Oryzias latipes: one gene and its partner. The protein of the gene in region 2 interacts with the protein of the main gene of each other region in a pairwise test. Links are inferred from orthologs where the notes say so. Each region holds a gene or a part of one and is shown on either strand. Other genes may lie near its edges. The genes, in order: sox14 and naif1.

Evidence for each region.
Region 1: the proteins of naif1 (region 2) and sox14 interact in binary tests that used the Homo sapiens proteins (3 or more experiments, as listed by UniProt). The two-hybrid records come from large-scale screens. The link is inferred for Oryzias latipes from reciprocal best matches to the Homo sapiens genes NAIF1 and SOX14.

Annotation. Positions count from the first base shown.
Region 1 is NC_019862.2:4,463,448-4,466,471, forward strand, and holds sox14 (transcription factor SOX-14), read left to right. Parts: upstream 1-1,752; coding exon 1,753-2,469; downstream 2,470-3,024. UniProt on the Homo sapiens protein: Acts as a negative regulator of transcription.
Region 2 is NC_019870.2:30,325,296-30,329,839, reverse strand, and holds the start of naif1 (nuclear apoptosis-inducing factor 1), read right to left. Parts: upstream 2,971-4,544; 5' UTR 2,948-2,970; coding exon 2,503-2,947; intron 1,141-2,502; coding exon 1,096-1,140; intron 1-1,095. UniProt on the Homo sapiens protein: Induces apoptosis.

The DNA of each region.
Region 1 (3,024 bases), on a different chromosome or scaffold from region 2:
TGAAATATAAAAAAATAAAAACTGACCTCTGTTTGGTCACCGTCAGCTCTGAAATCAAAAAGATAAATCTATTATTAATATTTTTATTATTATTATTGTTATTATTATTATTATCTAATAACAAACAGGTTGGGTCTCATTGTGGCCACCTAAGTAAATCAAAAATCTTCTTATTTTTGTCTCGTGAGCAGAGAGAAGAGAAACAAAGAAGATTTTTTATGTCTGTGCACGCGCGCAGGTGAGTTTACACCTTGAAATATAGGCCAACACATAAAATAAGCACCGAGCTATTTTGGGTGTTGAGAGTTCCATCTTAAAACAGCTTTAGCGAGTGCGCGTGCGCGTGAGAGAGTGTGCGGGGAGGTGCTTTCGTTGAATAATCACAGCTGAAAGAGTCATATATCACCTACATCAGGCGCATTAGCTCAGGGGCTATTAGGCAGTGGTCCTCATTCAAATGAGCGTTTTCAAACGGTGGCCGCCGGACTGTCAGAGTGAACCAACCCCACAGCCACAGACTCACTGTGACTCACTGTGACTGCTCCAAAACTGTGCATGCAACACTTTCTTTTAGGTTTATTGAATTGCATATGTCTGCGTTTGTTTGCGGGTGTTTTTGCTTGTTTGTTTTATAATTATTTTATCCATGCCATATTTTTGTTTGCAAGCTGGAAACTGAAGATAGACAGATAAAGGGTTGGAAAAATAAATAGGCCTATAATTTTTAGATTTTATTTTTACATTTTAAATATCTAAATGCTTTTGAGGGGATAGGGGGTGAGGGCGTGACCCCCCTTCTTGTCCAAGATTTGTTTCTATCTTTTAAACATAGCAATTCCTATGTCTGTCTAATTGATTTCGGTTTGAAATAATACATGACTGTTATTATTTTAGTTTCTAGTTTCGTTGCAGGAGAGCAGCGGTTAAAGCTCCCTCTGGCCTTTCGTGCGTCCAGGAGGACAATCCTCCTGAACGCTGCTCAGCATCGGTCTCTTGGTGTTCCTGCTCTGAATGGAAGTCGGGCTTTAACTTGGGAAGAGGTTGAAGGTTCGTGTTTGTTGCGATTTATTACATGAGATGTAATCGGGGGTGGGGGTCGTCCATACGCGCGCGCGCAAATGTCCTTTTTTCTAGTCCCCCCCCCCCCCCCCCCGCGTGCCTTTGTTTACGCCGTAACGCACGCAGCCCGTGCGTTTTTGGGTGAAGGTGTTAAAGAGGCGCTCTCCGTGCTGATTGGGCGCTCAGGTTGGGAGTGAACGCCCTGCAGATTATGTCAGATTGCGTGCAGAAACCAAACCAGCCCAGCCTTTGAACTTCACCGCTTTTGGCTCGTATTCACGCTCTTCCGCTCATTTCCAAACCAGGTGCTTGACGACAAACCTCCACCAGAGCGGCAGAGAGGGGGCGTCCGCGGCAGAAAATCAAATAATAACACCGGAGACTTTTATGACTACAGCAAACTGCGCGCGGAACGTGACTTTCACCTTTGTGGATGGGTTCCGTGTGCGCGTCTTGCATGCGCGTCTTTTCCTGACCCAGAATTGCAAAGCGGACTCCATTTGTGTTTTACCTCGGGAAGAACGGAACCGGGCTGGATTGTTTTTGTTTTCTTCTCCTTTTCCTGCTTCTTTCCCCAGAGCCGTGGCATGAGCAGACGCTGGCACGTGTTCAGGTGAATAGTTTACCTTTCCTCTGATAAGAGAACTTTTGGTTGTCATCAAGAGCGGGATAAAAAGTGCTAAAAGTTCGAAAATGTCAAAGCCTGCTGATCATATCAAGAGACCCATGAACGCCTTCATGGTGTGGTCCCGGGGCCAGCGGAGGAAAATGGCCCAAGAGAACCCCAAAATGCACAACTCGGAGATCAGCAAACGACTGGGCGCCGAGTGGAAGCTGCTCTCCGAGTCCGAGAAGAGACCCTACATCGACGAGGCCAAGAGACTGCGTGCGCAACACATGAAGGAGCACCCCGACTACAAGTACCGACCGAGGCGCAAACCCAAAAACCTGCTGAAGAAGGACCGCTACGTTTTCCCGTTGCCTTACCTCGGGGACACCGACCACCTGAAGGGACTTCCGGTGTCCGCTGCGGATTCTCTCTTGGGCTCGTCGGAGAAAGCCCGGGCGTTTCTCCCGCCGACCTCCGCCCCCTACTCCTTCCTCGACCCGAGCCAGTTCAGCTCCAGCGCCATCCAGAAGATGACAGAGATGCCGCACACGTTGAGCACCAGCACTTTGCCGTACGCATCCTCGTTGGGATACCAGAACGGCGCGTTCGGCACCCTCGGGTGCCCCAGTCAGCACACCCACACCCACCCGTCGCCCACAAACCCGGGCTACGTCGTCCCGTGTAACTGCACGGCCTGGTCAACGTCAAGTTTACAGCCCCCGGTGGCCTACATACTTTTTCCAGGTATGACCAAGACTGGAATTGACCCGTATTCCTCCGCGCACGCCGCTGCCATGTAACCCCACTGACTCTTTTTGCTCTTTTTATGTCACTTGAATACTGAAATGCATGTACAGATGGTATGGACAGCGCACCCCCATTCAAAGGCACGAACAGTATTACCTGCCCGGGCTGGTTGTGATCAGAAAAAAAAAAGAAAAGAAAAACACAAAAAAAACTTTTTTCACAACCAGTTCTTGGCTGAGCAAAGAAGCTGCAGCGAACTGTAAGAAATGTAAATGTTATAACGTTTATGGCAACCAGAAAAGGAGGCCTTTAACTTTATTTATGATGTACATTTTAATGCTGATATGCTGATTTGTGTTGATTATTGATAGGCTGCTCTTTTACTTTGAAAATCGGCTTGCACAATTAGCATTCACGTTTCCTGTACAGGCCTAAAACAGCCCACAGTTTGGCAAATTTTCGATGATGATCTGGACCTTTGGTCAACATCAGAACACTCGGGCTGCTTCACTTACGGGTTTTTTCTCTTTATATTTATTGGCTGGGAAAAAAATTGAGCATTCAAGTAAATGGTCTATTTAAAATGACAAAAAGCAAAGAGAACAAAA
Region 2 (4,544 bases):
CCTGCACCACCATGCATCTGTGGTGTCTGTTGTCTTCAGTGCGGAGGACTTTGGTCCAGGATGTGGTTTCCTTGCTCGCAGTGGTCCGTTTCTGCTGGTTTCATGTTCTGTTGTCGTCTTCTGTTTTTAGATACGTCACACGCTACCATCTGATGATGACTCTGACGAAGACGGAGGACGTCTGTCGAAACATGTGAAACACAACCGTGTCTGATAACAGAAGAACCAGGAAGTCAAGAGAGATGGATGTGTCGGGGGGGGGGCAAAAGAAAGGGAGAAAAAGAGGGGACTTAATGAAATAGAAGGATGATTATAGAGGGGGGGGTAGAATCATTAAGCAACAAGTTGCTGGAAGATTATCAACATTACTGTCAGGTGTAGATGTTAGTCTAAAGGGGGCGGGGCCTGTCCACTCACACACTCCTGCTGGATCCAATGATGTTCAGACACAAACATGTCAACATGTACACAATACAACTAAAGCTCACACACACACATATGCACACAGACCAACACATGGCAAACATTTCATTCAGTCAAAGGTGAGACAGCACCTGTGCTCAGGTGAGGGTGTCTGTTCTGCTGGGGTCCATGATGGAATGGAAAATAACCAAGACCCCCGCTGAGGCACCAGCGATAGCCTGGACCCCCGACACCCACACAGTGTAGCAAACAGAGGAAACCTGCCCGTCGGCGTGCATGTCCTCCACCTAGACCAGGGCAGGACCGCCACAGGGGCCCCCACACCAGGGAGCAGGGAGGCCACAGGACCGCAGAGAGTGCAAGCTCCAGCCCAACCAGAAGAATAGCCCCCCACAGAGCCCCACCCCGGGAAAACACCTCTAACCCCCGATGATAACCCCCCAACCCCAGGCACGAACCAGGGCCCCCATAGGGAGACCTGCCCCACGCTCCAGCCCACCCCGCGGGAGGTCCAGGAGAGAGGAAAGCAGATTTTCATCAAATCCCCTTTGATCGTCCCAAAACCCTCAAACACACCATGAAGGACTGTCCTAAGATGGACCGTGAGGATCACGTCTGGACACAATAACAGGAAATGTCAATCACAAGAAAGAAACAGGAGTAAATACTCACCATTCAGAGCCTTTGGGTCATCACACACCGGACCAGCCGGAAGAGCTGGAAATGAAAACACATCATCTGTCACTTTTTCATCGTCACACTTTGACCTGCATTTTATTTTGAAGTCACCGGGAATCTTATTACTGTTAAACGTCTGTCTTTGAGTTTCTTTAAATCCTCATATTTATGGTTGTGTGCTTTTGTGTGATGTTCAAAAAGATTTGTTTTAAATCTCATTCTGTCCAGCAGCAAAGATGGGAGCTGAGGGCCTCTAGTGGTGGACCGGTGTTACTGCAACGATAATAGAGCCTCATTATATTTGTATGTATTTTTTTTGGGACCAAATATTAAAGGTGGAGATCATGAGTACAAGGAAGGAAAAGGAGGTAAAGATGTTGGAGGATGATTAAAGAAAAACATGTGTGTGTGTGTGTGTGTGTGGGGGGGGGGGGTATAAACAAAACATGGCTCGAGGTTTATCAGTCTAACTTTCACCACAAGTTCTCATTGAAACGACTCAAAAACGTCCCTCATGACCCGGCGATGTGAAACGTGAGCCGAGTTGTGTCACTGACACCCAGCATCAGACACAACAATGTGTTTAGCAATCATAGATGATTAACAGTTTATATGTATTCCGTTGTCAGAGGTTCCCACATGAATACTCCCATATGGAACATTCATCATCTATGACGTTGGGTCACTGCCACATTTCTGCATACAGTTGGACTCGTTGGGTCACGTGGTTTGGAAGAAACCGAAAGGAAAGCCAGAATTCAGACCTCTGCAGTTTTAATATAATAATTCATATAAAATATTCTGCATCTATAATTGCAAAATAACTTGGTGTGTCTGGCGCCATAATTGTGCATATATATGGAATCATGAGGTCACATGGTTTGGGAGCTATTGAAAAAACATCAGGATATCAACTTCAAACCATTTTTCTCATGAAAACATTGCAAAATACATACGATTGTTTTAACACAACATGAGGAATTGTTTCATTGTCATTTGTTTCTTTTTGCAAAGCATTTAGTCTAAAGTTTGATGTAAAATCTATGCACTTGTTAATTTGTTGACGCCGCTCAAACATCCAACCTGACGCTAACTTCACCGCACTCTGACGACGTTGGTCCTCTTATTATAAGTCATTTATGTGAAGATCCTGATTTCTGACCATGTTCCCTAACAGCTTTGCGTTTACACCCGTCTGTAAATAAAAACAGACCATAAACTTTAGACAGAAGCGGAAATCTGCCCCACAGTCCTTAAATGAATGTTTCTGACTTTAGGTCCTGATCCACATGTCATCGCTCCATCATGCATGACTGCTGCTGGATCGGAGCGGGAACTTCTGTCAGAGCGGATCATCACACCAGCACACGATCTTTGGCCGCCGTTCGTTCGGCCGCTTACCCTCCGCCAGCGCGACCGCGGCGCCGGCGCTCACCGTCACCGGGAGCGTCAGCTCAGCATCCGAGTCTCCGGCCGGGAGGCTGATGATGGTGGCCTCCCCCAGCAGGTTGCAGATCCTCTGCTGCATGGCGCTGAGGATGACGGGAACCGTGGCGCAGTCGGCGGACGTGCCCTCGATGGCGGCGCGCGCCTGCGCGACCTTCCGCCGCACCTCCGTCTTCATGTCGGACCACTTCTTTTTGACCTCGGGCAACTCTCGGGGGCAGGTGGTGACGGCGTTGACTTTGCGGAGGATGTCGACCCAGGCGTTATTCTTAGCCATGTGGGTGACTCCGGCATTGAAGTGGTTAACCAGTGTGTGCTTCTGCTTCTCTATTTCCTCCACAATGATCTCCACCTCTCTCTCCGAGAAATTCATTTTCCTTTTTTTGGCAGCCGACGCCATAAGTGCAGAAAAGCCTCTAAAGACAAGGGATTGTGCGTATCGTACGCAAAAAAGTGCGATTTACTCAACTGCTGTGCGCAACGTAATGGCTTCCAGAATCGGCTTCTTCTGAAGAACAAACAGCTACGGGAGCCCCGCCCCCCCAACGCGGCTTCGCCATAGGCTGGGTGGAGGGATGACGTCAAACGTTCTGTGGGCCTCATTGTGTAGAACAGATGACAATCAAGGCACGAGCCAAACAGCGCGCGCTCCCGAAGCCTCAATAAAGATTGATGGAAAAAACGGAAGTGTCAAGGTGGCGCGCGCGTTTGTGGAGCACCGTCCAGAATGACGTGTTCCTTCATCCTATGAATGAATCACATACATGAACCTTATTTATTCTTGACCCGCCTGAAGGTTCTGGAGACCAGAACATGTTCGTTCTGCCGCGACTCGGAGCTCTGCGCTCTGGAACAGAGACGCGCGTGAGCTGAGAGTCACGAGAGTCTTGGGGTTTTGATGCGCGGTTTTACTGTTTTGATGCGCAATACTTTAGGCTCTATTTTGACACCATAAGTCTTCCTCTGGAAGCTCATCCAGAGAATGCCAAGAGTGAGCAAAGCAGTGTAACCAACTTCCTGGATCTTTTATTTTGGGAGAGGTGTGTCCCTCCCGGGACCCTAGAGACCAGGGGGCGTGGCAAGTTCAGAGGGAATCATTAGTTTTGGGAGTTGAAGAAGAAGAATAAAGAAGTGGTGAGCAGATCCACTAAATGGCGGACTGGTTGTCCCGTCTCGTTTATGACTACAGAGTGACTGATTATTGAACCTCCCCATCGCTCGGTTACAGCAGGAATCAAAGCAAAAGGTGGCTACTTTGAAGAACCTACAATATGACATATTTTCAGTTGTTTCACATTTTTCTGTCATGTATTTAATTCCACATGTGTTAATTCACAGTTTTGATGCCTTCGGTGTGAATCTACAAATATAGTCATGAAAATAAAGAAAACTCTTTGAATGAGAAGGTGTGTCTAACGGGTCTTTCATTTTTCTTTCTTTGCTGATGCTGCCTTGAGGATGTATTAGAACATGCTCATCAGTTTTCATTGTGTGACAAAGTCTTATAGTTTTTATCTTATGCATTTATTTAATAAGTTACCAAACTAAGAAACTAAAGCTGTGACGGATCAAACCAAAAGAACCGTTTAGTCGCTGCGTTTTAACAGGCTGACTGTTGGAACTGAAACACGCCGCTCAAACGACCGGGTTCTGTGAACAAACTGGGCGGTTCTGAACGGTCCGTTTGGTCCAGGATTCTCCTGGTTTTATGCAGGCAGAGAAAAAAAACAAGTGTTTTCTAGAGTTTTATTAGGATAAAAGGTCAAACAGTTCAAGATGTCATTCAGTTCACCCAACGTGATCAGGTACACCAGTCCAGCTGCCCATTCATTCCTAACCAGCCAATCACATGGCAGCAACTCAACACATGTAGTCATGTATTCATGGTCCAGACGATCTGCTGCAGGTCAAACCAGCATCAGAATGAGAAAGAAAGGTGATTGAAGTGACTTTGAACGTGGTTGTTGGTTCCAGACGGGCTGGGATTTTCACCCACA